Linked DNA regions of Tamandua tetradactyla. Each later gene encodes a partner of the first gene's protein in a complex. Links are inferred from orthologs where the notes say so. Each region holds a gene or a part of one and is shown on either strand. Other genes may lie near its edges.

What was found. The genes of interacting proteins can lie anywhere in the genome.
Region 2: STX18 (region 1) and STX7 share a complex: the UniProt entries of both Homo sapiens proteins name them as parts of the SNARE complex. The link is inferred for Tamandua tetradactyla from reciprocal best matches to the Homo sapiens genes STX18 and STX7.

The regions. Positions count from the first base shown.
Region 1 is NC_135345.1:8,488,931-8,495,958, reverse strand, and holds the start of STX18 (syntaxin-18), read right to left. Parts: upstream 3,054-7,028; 5' UTR 2,969-3,053; coding exon 2,801-2,968; intron 1-2,800. UniProt on the Homo sapiens protein: Syntaxin that may be involved in targeting and fusion of Golgi-derived retrograde transport vesicles with the ER.
Region 2 is NC_135351.1:32,621,649-32,629,524, forward strand, and holds the start of STX7 (syntaxin-7), read right to left. Parts: upstream 3,095-7,876; 5' UTR 2,515-3,094; coding exon 2,415-2,514; intron 1-2,414. UniProt on the Homo sapiens protein: May be involved in protein trafficking from the plasma membrane to the early endosome (EE) as well as in homotypic fusion of endocytic organelles. Mediates the endocytic trafficking from early endosomes to late endosomes and lysosomes.

The sequences.
Region 1 (7,028 bases):
TTAAAATAATGGAGCATAAGAAACCAGCCCATGGGATAGAAAAACTAGTTTCAACAAAATTTTATTAAGCTTAATACAACCTCTACATCAATGCAGTGAGATGGAAATATGACATCAGGCATACATTTTGTTCAAAACAAGGAACAGAAGGCCTGGAATTAAAGTAGGCAAAATGTATCTTTAAAATGATAGGAAATGCTTCAACAAAAGAAACAAAAACAAAACAAAAATGATAGCAAATGCTTCAAAGAAGGCATTTAACCAAAGTCATTTCTATAATTTGCTACATTTCCTCTGGTCTGATAACCAGTTCTAAACCTGTACTCCTAGTACTAACCAGACTTTCATGTAAAAGGAAATCTATCCAAAACAATATTAACGACCAAACATCTGACACACCTGATCATCCCCCCACTAGCTCTATACTAGCTGAACTCTTCCGCAAGGAGGAAGAGTGAAAGAGAAAGAAATAGTCGCAAGAACAGTTTCTTACAACTGCAATATGAGAAAAAAAAATTCTTCCAAAGAATGCATGTTTTCCCAATATCAGAAGAGGCAGTGGCCCTGAACAGCGCAGCTCATGTCCCTACTTGACAGAAACTCCACAACTTTACACCTACCCTCATCATTAAACATCAATGGAATGTAGTCTCTCTGACAAGCAAAGTTCTTCTCAAACATCCCTAACTACCCCTCTGTTTAAATAACTCCAGTAGTAGAAACCTGTCACTACTTAACCATGCCCATGAATTCAAAGACTGAACTCTAGTTCTCACTACTCAGGAAGAGGCCTGAGGGGGCCTCAGTGACCACAGGGCTCTTCATCATGCTCACAGACCCTCCTGTGCTTCTTGTCCCTACAAGAGCAGCAACTCAACTCAGATCAGCATGATGTTAATACACTGGTGATTGCAGAGGTAGAGGGGCCCTCCAAAAACCAAAACTGCGGTCTTCAAACCACAGCTCCACAAGTGGTAGCTCAGGAAGTGTCTGGGCAAGATTGCGGGGGAGGGAGAGGGAGAATAGCCTGGTTTCCCTTCCTTTCACCTCAACCTGAGAAGCTCCCATTTGATCTGTCAGACCTAGAGGGTAATGCGGTTTTCAGTCTCTTGCTGTTTAAGGGGAAAAAAAAAAAAAGAAGGGGACCTACAGGTAAAGAAATTGTGGTGATAGTTGCTGAATAAGCCTTAAGTGGCTAATAGTTGCAGGGTTAAGAGGACAACCAAGTCCCTTGGCTCCTTCTCTAGTGCTCCTTCTCCACTAAGATCAGATTGCCTACGTGTAAAGTTCAAGTTCAGCAGTCATATACAAGGTCCTTCAAGAACTGCCCCTACCTGTCATTCCAGGCCAAATTTCCTGGGGGTCCCACATTCCAGCCACACTCAAATGCTTATCAAACCAGCTGATGTTAGTTTGGCACCTACCTCAGTGACTTTGTGCATACTGTTCTCTCAACCTGAGAGGCCTTTCCCTACTCTGTCTGTCCTGGAACCAGCCAACTACTCTTTCGAGATTGATTTCAGACATCATCACCTCTTTTAAGCCTTTCCCAGCCCTCAGGCAGAACTGACCACCTTCCTTTGTGTCTTAGCCTTCTGTCACAACATCTACTAAGCTTTATGGCACTTATTTTTGTTTATATGCCTATCTCCTCTACTACTCCTTTTACATCATGCCACTCAAACCAGTGCTTTGGTCTGGATGTACTCATCTGGTCCACTTTCTCTTCTGATGCCTAACTGTCCTCTGCAACTGCCAGTCTTAATTCATGAATACATATATTCATTCAAAAACATCAAGTGTTCACAAAATGCTAAGTATTGGACTGTGTGCTAAGCAGAGGTGGACTTATCAGGAAGCTAATGAACCTGAGGTTTCAGGGACTCCCACATGCACTTTCCAAAGCCCTTAGGCTACTTTTTCCTTCTTCTTTTTTTTTTTTTTTTTTGGTAATTTCTTATTTGTATTTCTGAAAAAGGGCAGATAAAATTGTATAAATAAAAACTAGATCCAACCTTGGTGCCAAGGATACAAAAGTGAACAAAGATTTTCTCTCTCCTTATGGTGTTTCCTGTTTAGTTAGAAAGACAGGCAGCCATTTGTTCATTCATTCATTCATTCATTCAACATTTAGTAAGCAATGCTATGGGCCATTCCGAGATGAAGCCAACAGTTTCTGCCCTAAAGGAGAAAGCCCCTGCTCTTATGAACGAAAGGCTGCTGTGTTCAGGTAACAGTAAGTAGTTTAGACGACTAGAACATGGAATATTTGTGAAAGATTATCCAAAACCAGTTTCGAGATGTGCTTAGCTTTACCACGCTCCTGAAATACTGGGGAAGGCAAGGGGAGGGGAGGACTCAGCTGAAAGAAACGTGGTCTTTGATCTCAATGCGAGGGAGGCGGAACCAGACAAGCAAAAAGAGGCAAATACAGTGTAGTCAGGGCTGCGTCGGGGAAGCAAAGGACTGTCCGCCGTGCCCGCGAACTCATTTTTTCACAAAGCAAACATTGCACTTAGAGGTTGCCGAGTGCCTTCTTCTTCCAAAGAGAAATCTGCTTCCTAGACTTCCCCAATACTTACATCCAGTCCCCCATATAAGGCTGCTCCTTTCTGAAGGCAGCTGTCCGCACTCATACCCAACTCTCCGGTTGAGACACCCCCACCCCCACCCCCACCCCGCGGTGAGACCACATCTTTCAGGCGTTTCCTCCGCACAATGCTAACCCGACAGGGTCTCACCGCTAAGTCGCGGGTCCGCCTCCCTCGTCCGCCCGCCGTCTCCATAGCAACCAGCTCACCACTTCGCGGGCCCGACTGGCAAAGTCGCCCTTGGCCCGGGAGCTCCGGCGGAACAGCTCGTCGCGGCTGCCATCAGCCCCGCCGCCCACTGCCACTCCCAGCGCCTTGTTCCGCGTCTTCACGGTCTTGACGCTGGCCCGAAACAGCAGCGTGATGTCCACCGCCATGGCGACCCACAACCGTGGCCGCCACCCGACCCGCTCACGTCAGCAGCCGGCGACCGCGACGCGAGCCTGGCAGCCGGAGGGCAGTTCCCGGCCCGCACACTTCCGCCCGGCAACCGCGGCGCGGGGAGAAAGGTTCCGGGCTCGGGCTGCGCGCTGGAAAACGCCCCTTTCTCCTCCCGGCAAACCCTGGCCGCCTTGGCAACGCCAGGGGGGCCGGGGACCCCGAGTCCCCTGTACCCCAGGAAGCAGGAAGGCTTGCTCCCTTCTCGTGGCTTCCGCATTGAGCGAGCCGGGCCATGTGGGCCTCGCTGGAGGGACCATAAGGGGAGCTGGCCTTGACATTTGACCTCGAGGAATATGCGGGAATGCACGTGGATTTTGACCCTCTGGAAGCATGGAGGGCAGATTGGTGGCTGAGGCTCGGACATAGAGGCCAGAGGCCGTTTTTCTCCAGCCTTCATTATCGTAGCTGTGAGATGAAGCCAGCCCCCAACTTCAGTATTATTGTGAAAATTAAATGATATAGTGTACTGTGTAGGGCTACTTGGCCCCTTATAATGGCCAATAAATATTACTTGCAGCTTGCCCTCGCCCAGCACAACCCCGAGACCAAAGACCACGCCAGGCAGAAAATTATTTATGCGTTTTAAAGGAGAAAAATTTCTCCCAATGGTTGGGAAATGGAAGTCAGCATTTTGTGCAAAGGGAAGAGGAGTGCCAAGAGGATGGCTTCTAAGGTTCAGCAGACTCTTGCGAGAAGTCGTTACAAGTAGTTTCAGCAGAGTCCTGGGAGGGTTGATTACCACTAGTGATTAAGGGAGGGGAGTTTTAATAAATGTCACCCAGGCTGCTACATGTTTCCGTAGTGGAGGGGGAGGTCCCGACCCCTGGGTTGCCACAATCCACTGCCCCTGAAGTAGTATGCATCCATATTCCACAAAAACAGTGTAAGAGGCTACAGAACATTAGGAGGTCCACAAACTGATGCTGTCAGGCCAAGAAAGGGAGTTACATTATTCTACTAATAACTGATAAAAACCTGTGATTTCATTCGTTCGTGAGAAGATTCTTTTCTAGATTTTCCAATGTTCTGAATTCTGTCAGGCCAGCAGGGTATTCCATGCAGTTCATTCCCAGGGGTCACAGTCCAAGGCAAGCTGGTAACACCCAGCAGTGGCAGTTCAGCACACACTCAGCATTGAGATTTATCGTGCATGTAGGTTACCACAGAAGCCTGTTGCAGAAAGGTATTTGCTGCGATGCTAAGGGCAAAAAGAACATAAGCCAACTTTCCACTAGCAGACAAATACTACATCTTTTCCCCTTGCGATTGCAGGAGCTTTCTGTGGTCAGATTCACAATTAGCCTGAACATACTACGTGATAACAGAGTCCTACATACTGTGCCTTGGGATATGAAGGGTCTCGGGTTGGTTACATATACAGCTTTGGCCTTTTGTGTATAAACTATGGCCTAACTCATTAATTTTGGGTGACCCCAATACCCCATGGGCTTAGGATTCCCAACCAGTGCGACTACATCATCCAGGACCATGGCCAATTGACCTTATTTTCCCCAGTTTCTAATGCTTGTAGTGCAGCAAAAGCAAGTTATTTTCATTACCTTGTTATATCTGTAGTGTTGCTGGTCTTTTTTGTACCTGAATTTGCAGTATCTGCACGGGCCCTACCATTACCAGTTCAGCAGGGGCGAGGGCAGCTGCTCTGGGTCCTGAATCAAGGCTGAGGAGGACTGGATACAACTGACACGCCCAGTGTTGCAGAGATTGTTTGTTATCGTTTAATCACTCTTTTAAAAGCCCATCATTACCATGTGACTTGGCAATCCCTTTTCTGGGAATAGTCCCCCAAAGAATTGAAAGCAGAGACTTGAACAGGTACTTGTACACCAATGTTTACAGCTACATTATTTACAATAGCCTAAAGAAGCCAGAAACTTTGGATTTTTATCTTAAGTGAATGCAAGTGAATACAATAAATATATATATTTAAAAATCCCATTCATTCTTTCAATCAATCCCACTGCTGTGGGATTGTAAGTCAAATGAAATATTCATAAGATGTCACGTTAAGTAGCCAAGTTTTGGGTTAGTTGTCCAGTTAAGGGGGTCCCTCCATCAGTGTCGACATGTGTGGAGACCCCAAAGAATGCACTTGGCTTTTCTAAGCTATGTATTGTATCTCTTTGCTTAGCTTTATCTACTGGAAAAGCCAGCAGCAGTCCAGTGGCGTTATCTACAGCTGTAAAAGCTTATTTTATATATCCAGATAAGGGAAGGGGCCCAGTATAACCTACCTGCCACCCGGTGAGCAGAATCTGCTCACAGCCAGTGTGACTGAGTTGATGAGGAAGCATCCTTGAGCATCGCAGCAAACAGGAGGAGCAGATGTTCACAACTTCTTTCAGTTGCCTGGTGATGGGCAGCTGGAATTGCTGTACCAGGCTTCACAGGGTCTGGTACCCTGGGTGTTCTATTTTTTATGAAACCATTCAGCAGCCTCATGCAGTGTTGGCCTTCGGCTATGAATTTTTCCTAATTCAATATTGCCAGGTAAAGAATTAGTGTTATGGGCAAAGATATGAAACACAGTTACCTTTCACTTGTGATAGTCCAGATATCTGGCCACATTTCTTTTCCCCAAAGGGATGGCCAACAACAGTCCATTTCTCTTGCTTCTACATGGCCATCCACATTGTCAGACCTCGGTACATGGCCCAATTGTCAGCACAAATAGTTATCCCATCTCCAAGTTCGTGAAAATGACCATCCATACATCCCTTAATTCAGCGCATGATAGTCCCAGTTTCCCACCCCATAGTGTGTTTGTACTAGGTTACACAGTGTGCTTGCTTGAAACTGTTATGTGCCCCAGAAAAGCCATGTTCTTCTAATCCAGTCTTGGGCATGCTGACCTCTTGGGGGTAGGATCTTTTGATTGACTTGTTTCCATGGAGGTATAACCCACCCAATTCAAGGTGGGTCTTAATCCTTTTACTAGCGTCTTCGATGAAGAGAATAAAAGGCAGAAAGCATAGAGAGAGCTCAGAACTGATACAGAGAGCAGAGAAATGGCAGATGCTTGGTGACAGAATTGCCCCGGAGATGCTATGCAAGGTCCCACAGAACCTGGAGGACCCAGAACCTGGAGAGAGCCAACTGAAGCTAAGGGGTGAAATGCAGAGTTTGCCCCAGAGAAGCTAAGAGAGGGCCCACAGATGCTTAGAAAGAGAAAGCAATGAACTGGGAGCAAGGACTAGCAGACACCAGTCAGGTGTCTTTGCAGCTGACAGAGGTGTATCAGTTGCTGAAAACCTTTCTTGAGTGAAGTTATCCTTTTGTTGATAAATCCATTGGGGCATTTTCACAGCTTTAGAACTGTAAATTTATAACCTGATAAATTTCTTTTGTAGAAGCCAGTCCATTTCTGGTAGATTGCATTCTGGCAGCTTCAGCAAACCAAAGCACATGCCTACTGCTATCCAGGTGGCAGGCTGCACGTGTGCTCCTCCGTCCGTATACCAGGCAGACTCAGGTATACTGCCACATCCATCAACAGTGGGCACAGAGACAGCCACCTCGGGAGGATCAGCAGGGAGGGGTAAGTGTTGTTCTTCCACATAGGAAACTGATCTCAGGATATCATGCATTTTACACTTGTGAAGCTGTTGTTGAAATGCTGTGCTGCTGCAGAGAAGCTTTCCCCTTTGTCAATGTGATTAACTGTGTACTGCCAGAGTAAGGCTTAGAGGCAATGTCCCGAATCCACCCCTGTATGGGGGATGGCTGTTCTTAATTTCACAGAGTATTTCTGAGTTAGTCCTTCTACTTGCAGTAAGGCATTATAGGCTGCACACAGTTGTTTTTCTAAAGGGCTGTGTGCCGGTTTGAAATTATTATGTACCGTAGAAAAGCCAATCTTGCCAGAGAAATTTCTTTTAATCCTGATTCAATATTGTGTGTAGAAGCTTTTGATTAGATTATCTCCATGGAGCTGTGACTCGCCCAGTTGTGGGGGTGACATTTGATTAGATAGATATA
Region 2 (7,876 bases), on another chromosome or scaffold:
AAACTAATATACTAATGAAATAAATTAATAAGGCTTTACATTTTTTTTTAACAAAAGTGGTTTGACAAAAAAGAAATACTTAAGTTTAAAAATAACCTTGTTTTATTTACCTTTTTCTTTGCAAACAAAGAACGTTCAATATATAATACTAGTAAAAGAAAACAAAATTTCAACTTTAAATATTGTTATTCTTGGACTTTTCCAAGAATCAAAATTCTTTCTGATTGCTAGTTTCTTTTTCGTATAAAGTAATACAATTCAACGTATTACAAGTTTTCACTTATCTTAATGAAATCTAGTAAGAAAATAACACTTGCCCAATGCATTACTCAGCAAGACTTTTGCATTACTCAGCAAGACTTTAGCTTTAGGTGAAGAGATGCACATATTCTAACTCTAAGGGTATGATATTACAGTATCATGCCAAGATTTCTTTTGTAAAATCTACTAATTTGTACACAAATTTTAAAAACGCAAATGTAGTGTGAAGAGAAGAACCAAATGCGGTGCAAAGTGTCATTTCATTCAATCATATCCACTATTATTAGCATCACTAAAGGGGAGAAAAAATGAACTGAAATTTTGTATCTGCCTTTCACTTCCACCTGAGTTCTGCAAATCACTTACCAGTGATGCACGCTGGAATGGTGGGTGATAGTTTTAACAATAACTTTATCTATAGCTAACCTTCCATTCATCTAGACACTGTCTCAGAATCAGAAAAAATACCCAGTGCTGACTGGCTTCACTAAATTCACAATACTAAATCTTAAATGAATACACAACCTGCCAAGAACCTTCTCTGCTTCCTCGATCTGTTAGCTCTCTCAATAATCAAATCTACACGTGATTTGACTTCTCCACTTTCTCCTCTCCTGTAAACTTTCAATGTCCCTCCCTCTCATTCTCTGTCCAATGACTAAACTGGACCTGTTGGCACAAAAACTCTTGCCCCCCATCCTCTGCCTCACCTCTGTAGAGGGATGAAAGGTGAACCACTCATTTGTTTTCCATTATTCCTTGCCCCTTCTCACCTTCAATGACATTCCTTTCACAATGAAACGCTCACTTTTTTTTTGTTTTCCTAACTTCTCCCTTTCTTTTGGGTCATTTTCACTAAACACAAACATTATAGTATTTCCCTTTCGTGGTAGAAAATACAATCCTTTCTCTGACCCTCCTTCCACCTCCTAGGTAGAATCTGCTAGTTGCCTAAGAAATGCTGATTCTTCCCTTTTCACTCAAATGAAGCAAATCCTCACTTTAGTGAGCACATTGCAATCCAGCTATAAGATATTTTCAGGCCTCTTTGCAGCTAGGTGTTCCTATGTGACTGGATCCGGCCAAGAGCAGAAGCAGAGGTGGGTGGAATTCTGAGAAATCTCTTGGAACATGGCTCTGAGACCACTCTTTTCAAAGTCACCAGTGATCTCAATTTTCCAAATCTAACTCTCTGCTTCTACCTTTGCCTCTCAGCAGCAAGACCCAGATGATGCCTCACCTACTTTTGAAACACCCTCACTTTTTGATTCCCAGAAATCCCTGATTTTCTTCCTACCTTACTGGTCACATCTTCTCAGATTCATTTTGCTGGCTTCCTTCTGACTCTTTGAATTCTACCATCTTTAACACTCCTGCTCTTGTGATTATCTTAGACTTGTGGTTTTCAATACCATTAATACTCTGATGACACCTGAATGCAAATTCACATATCTAAGCTAGATATCTGACTTAGATGTCTAAAAGGCATTTCAAAATTTATTCAGATAAAACAAAACTCTCCTCCCTGCCCTAGTTAAAACCTGCTGCTAGATTTCCATTGCCTCAAAAAATCAAGCACAAACTCCCCACACTCCCACAATAATGGGCCCCAGGCTCCTCTCTTGCCATCTCCGGCCCCTCTGGTTTGTTCTCTGGCCACACTGGCCTTTCTGTCTCTGAACGCCCCAGCTTTGTTCTGTTTTAATGTTTTTAATACTAGTTATTTACTCCATCAGAAATGCCCTTTCTCTTTGTCTTCTCACCACCAGCCTTTCTCACCCTCATTCAGGGGCCCAACTAAGCGCAGGCAGTTCCCCCACTCACTCACTTCCACATTATCTCCACTTCATTTTCTTCTAAGGAAACTGTGCTGTTCATTAATTGTTTACTATCTGTTTCTCCTCACTTTACTGTACATAAAATGAGAGCAGGGCCTTGTGGAACTTGTTTACTACTGTACTCCCAATGTGTGGGGTACTGCTCAGCAAATAGGAGGTGCTCAATAAAATGCTTGTTGAATGGATAAAATAGAGTCTCAAAATTAAGGACATTTATTCTGAACCATAATGCCAATATTTAAAATTCTTAATTACAGACCTAAGAATTACCTGGCTATTCTATAATATTAGTCACTTTAGTAACAGAAATCTCACCTCTCCTGAGCCAGGTAATTCCACCCCCAACAACTGGGAAGATTAAAAAACACTTCCTTCTCTGCAGCTTCTGTTCAACTGTGGAGGCCTTTAAGTCCATGCAGGACACAGTTCTGTTTCACAAATGACAGTACACAGATATCAGAAGGCAGTGATCGAAGCTCCTGTTGGCAGAGTGCTCCCAGCCTGCTCTACAGCGCTTCATGCAGGACAGTGGTGAATCTTCATCTTCCCACACACCAAAGCTGCCCCAGATTGTGATGTCATCTCATACAAGCTGTCACAACATGCCATGAATATTCAACTCTACCCCAACTTATCACTTCTCATCTAGTTGGACCAACTGATCACTTTCTCAGGGAGTGCAGCCTGGTTTCAGCTAACCCTTCCTTCTTTCCAGCTCAAGTTCATACACAATCTGCAACCCCTCAATCTTTACTTGGTGCTTCTGTAGCCTGAGTACTGTCATTCCAGAGAAGATGACTCTCAACTCAAGACATCCTCTTACTAAATACAGCTTATCTTTCCTAGCACAGTATACCTGCTTCATCCATTGAAGTAAGCCTCTTGGTCTCCTTTCTTGCCAATGGTGTGCTGCTCCCTCCCTCAGCACTACACTTGCCTATTTATGAACCTTCACCAATTTCAGTTAAAAATTAAAAACAAACAAGGAAGTCATTTAAAAATCAACTCACAGCACTGTGTGATCTTCTGGATGTTGGAAGAGATGCGCTGGGCCAGCTGGGCAGGGTCCCCACCAATTCCCGGAGTGTAAGACATGGTTGACTGGCTTATTCACTAATTTCATCAGATGCTGGGGGGCCGTACAGAAGTTTCTCTAAGCAATGACCTAAATAACATAAAAAGAAAAGTCAAATTGTATTTTTAATGTTACTGGTTTACATCTTCCAAATTATCAATCTGGGAGATTATAAACTTGATTAACTGAACAGGGTCAAAATCAAGCAGCAAAATTCTCATGTCTAGAGAAAAAAACTGGTCATTAGACAGTCATGTTAAACATGTTAAACAATTAAAATAACGTTCAAGCTGCACATTCTCTTTTAAAAACTTCCTTGAGCAGCTCTCCAAGACAGGTTTACTAAGTCTGGTTTCTGGGTAGAATTTTAATTGTTCAGATAATTTCTCCTTGATGAAATTAAAAGCAAATATAAGATGAGCTGCATGATGCTTAGCTTTCTTTCTCCAACATTTAGGACAATTCCTGGCATAGATCAGGCACTTCAACATTTGTTAGATGAACACAGAATTCAGGTTATCCCCAGAAATTTCATTAAATCTAACTTAATCCACATACACAACACACACACATTTCTTTCCTCTGCTCAAGGAAAGAGGAGGATTTTTTAAGAAAACGGTATATCCAGTTCAAGGATCGTTAAAGTAGGGAGCTCGGGAACACGGGACTAGGGGTTCTCGTAATGGGAAAGGTCAAATCTGAGATAGCAGAGCCATCTGCTGGAAGAGAAAGAACGTTCAATAAATGCTCAGTACACTTCCCAACAGAGAAAGGAGAAAGGAGGGCCCCCCTCTTCTAGAAACAGCGTCTTAGGATCAGAAGCCAAGCTGGGATACTGCTACTGGAAGGAGACAAGATGAGGTTCTTTCCTTCTTCAATCCACCCTACCTTCTCAGGGTTTGGAAGGCAGAAAAAAGGACTGCACCTTGACTAGGGGACTGCACTCCTAGAGCTTCAATGACCCTGCTTGCTCCACTGAGTGCGCAGAGGCTACTGCAGTAGTTGGTGGTCAGCTGCCAAGTCAGCTCCCTCAGAGCCTAATCCATGACCAGCATTAAACTAAGCACTGGGAAGATCCAAAGAAAGTGAAAATAAAGATATAAAGTGTTCAAATCAAGTTTGCAATTTAGAAGACAGATTTAAGGTAAAACAACAAAAAACAACACAAAGCAGTAAAAGGCCAAGGGCTAGGCAAAAGTGACAGGGACTCATCACTATTACCCTTGCCTGAAAAGGTTTAAAACCCAGAAATATAGGCTCTGGATGTCTGGCTATGACTGGTATAGAGAACACAAAGCAAGGTCAGGGTGCCTGGAGCCAAGGGACCCAGAGTGTGGGGGAAGGTGATTACCACAGGAAGGGGAGGCCCCAGGCCAACTCTGGATCGGATGATTCCTGGCTGGGAAGAGAGGAACAACCTAACATTTATTACACGTCTGCCAAGTGATAAGCATCTGACATAGACATCTAATTTAATTTTCACAAACTCCCCTTAAAGTCAGTAGCATTATCTTTGTTTTAATGGTGAGTAAACTGTGGTTGATAAAGATTAAATAACTTGTCCAAGGTAACTCGACCAGCACAAGGTGGAGGTGAGAGCCACTTCACAGTACTGATTTCAAAGCTCCTCACACAAAGCCAAGGTCACAGAGAGAGGGCCCCAGATGCCGGGTTTAGTTGGCTTAGGTTGCAACAAGAAGCCACTATATATTTCTTGTAGGAGAGAAAAGGCCACAATGAAATATGTGCTTTGTCCTATGTGTCAGTCCTGGCAGGAAGTACTGGTTCCAGTGGTGCATGGTGGAATGTGTCAAGCTGGCCTGGAAAACCTGGGAGGTTAGGCTGCTCTGTATTTCCCTTCCTTGTTCCATGGGTCCATTTTTCTACTGGGTGCTTTGGGACCCCCTCCCCAAACAACTACCACAATCAATTTTAGAATATTTTCATCACCCCAAAAAGAAAACCTGTATCCATTAGTAGTCATTCCCCATTTATCCCCAACTTCCTAATCCTAGGCGACTCTGAATCTCTGCATCTACTGTATGCCTTTATAGATTTGTCTAATCTGGACATTTCACATAAATGGAATCCTAAAATACATGGTCTTTTGTTACCATATTTGCAAGGTTCATCCACTTTGTAGCACAGAAGAGTACTTAGTCCCTTTCTACCACTGAATAATATTCTATTAGATAGACAGACAACATTTCTTTTATTTATTCATTCACCTATTGATGGACACAGGTTATTTTTACTTTCTGGCCATTAGGAATAATGCTACTATACACATTCATGTACAAGTTTTTATGTGGACATATAGATACAGACACATTTTCATTTCTCTTGGGTAGATACCTGGAAGTGGAGTTGCTGGCTTGTATTGCAATTCTATGCTTAGTTTAATCTTTTGAAGAACTGCCAGTTTTTCAAAGTGGCTGTGTCATTTTATATTTTCACCAATGTATAAAGGTTTAAATTGCTCCACATTCTCACCAACACTTGCTATTACCTGTCTTTCTGATTATAGTCATCCTAGTGATTGTGGAGTGGTACATACTGCAATTGTGATTTGCACTTCCCTGGTGGCTAATGATGCTGAGCTTTTTTTTCATGTGCTTCTTGGCCATTTGTGTATCTTTTTGGGAGAAATGTCTATTCAGATCCTTGGCTCATTGGTCTTTTTATTACTGACTTGTATAACTTCTACATGTATTTTAGATACAAGACCTTTATCAGATTATTGTCAAATATCTTCTCCCATTCTGTGGATTATATTTTAGCCTTTTTTTTAATACAGTTTTATTCATACACCATATAGTCCATCCAAAGTGTACAATCAATAGCACTCAGTATAATCACAGAGCTGTACTTACATTACCACAATCAATTTGAGAACATTTTCATAGTTCATAGTTCCCAAAAGAAAACCCTATATCCCTTATCTCCCCCCTCCGCCATTAATGACACTCAGCTTCAGTGCGTACCTTTGCTACACAATAGATGGAGGAACATTATGCTACTATTAACAGACTATAATTTGCATTAGGTAAATTTTTTTCCCATGTACCACCCTATTACCAACATCTTGCAGTTTTGACATGTATTGTTCTAATTCATGGAAGAACATTCTTGTATTTGTACTTGTGCTGGTTTGAAAGGAAGCATGTCCCCTAAGAAAAGCCATGTTTTAATATAAGTCCCATTTCTTAAAGGTAGAATAATCCCTATTCAATACTGTACATTTGAAACTGTAATGAGATCATCTCCCTGGTTGATGTGATTTAGTTAAGAATGGTTGTTAAACTGGATTAGGGTATGACATGTCTCCACCCATTTGAGTGGGTCTTGATTAGTTTCTGAAGTCCTATAAAAAGAGGAAACATTTTGGAGAATGAGAGATTCAGAGAGATTCAGAGAGAGCAACACTACAAAACAGAGTCCACCAGCCAGCGACCTTTGGAGATGAAGAAGGAAGACACCTCCCGGGGAGCTTCACGAAATAGGAAGCCAGGAGAGAAAGCCAGCAGATGACGCTGTGTTCGCCATGTGCCCTTCCAGCTGACAGAAGTCCTGACTGTGTTCGCCATGTGCCTTCTCACTTGAGAGAGGAACCCTGAACTTCACTGGCCTTCTTGAACCAAGGTATCTTTCCCTGGATGCCTTAGATTGGATATTTCTATAGACTTGTTTTAATCGGGACATTTTCTCGGCCTTAGAACTGTAAACTAGCAACTCATTAAATTCCCCTTTTTAAAAGCCATTCCATTTCTGGTATATTGCATTCCAGCAGCTAGCAAACTAGAACAGTACTATTAACCACATTCATCATCCACAACTGGATTCACTATGTTATAATGTCAGCCCCTTGTTTCATCCTCGAGCTTTCCTTCTACTGATATACATGACCCTAAACTTCCCCTTTCAACCATTATCACACACATGATTCAGCACTGTTACTTACACACTTATAATAATGTACTATCATCATCTCTATCTGTTTCCAAATATAACAGTCACCTTTATTTAAAAATTCTGCACAAATTAAGCATCAGTTCCCTATTCTTTGTCTTCACTGTATCTTCTGGTTACCTATATTCTAGATATTTTAAAATTTTTTTTCAATTTTATAAACATTTATTGAACATTTACTTTGTGCCAGATACTGAATGAAATGCTAGGGATAAAGAAGATACAACCTTTTTTTTTTTTTTTTTTTTTTTACCCCTTATCCCCTTTCTACCCATCATTTATTTATTTATTGTCCTTATTTTTTACCCATCTGTCCATATCCTGGACAAAGGGAGAATCAACCAGTAGGTTTCCACAATCACATCATCACATTATAAAAGCTGTATAGTTATATAATTATCTTCACGAGCAAAGGCTACTGGAACACAGTTCAACAGTTTCAGGTACTTCCCTCTAGCCACCCCAATACACCACAAGCTAAAAAGGAATATCTGTATGCATAAGAATAACCTCCAGGATAACCTTTTGACTGTTCAAAATCTCTCAGCCACTGAAACTTTATTTTGTCTCATTTCTCTCTTCCCCTTTTAGGCCAAGAAGGCTTTCTCAATCCCATGATGCTGTGTCCCAGCTCCCACATTGCCAGGGAGGTTCACACCCTCGGGAGGTGGTGAGTTCACCTGCCGAGTTAGCTTACAGGGAAAGGCCACATCTGAGCAACAAAACACGTTCT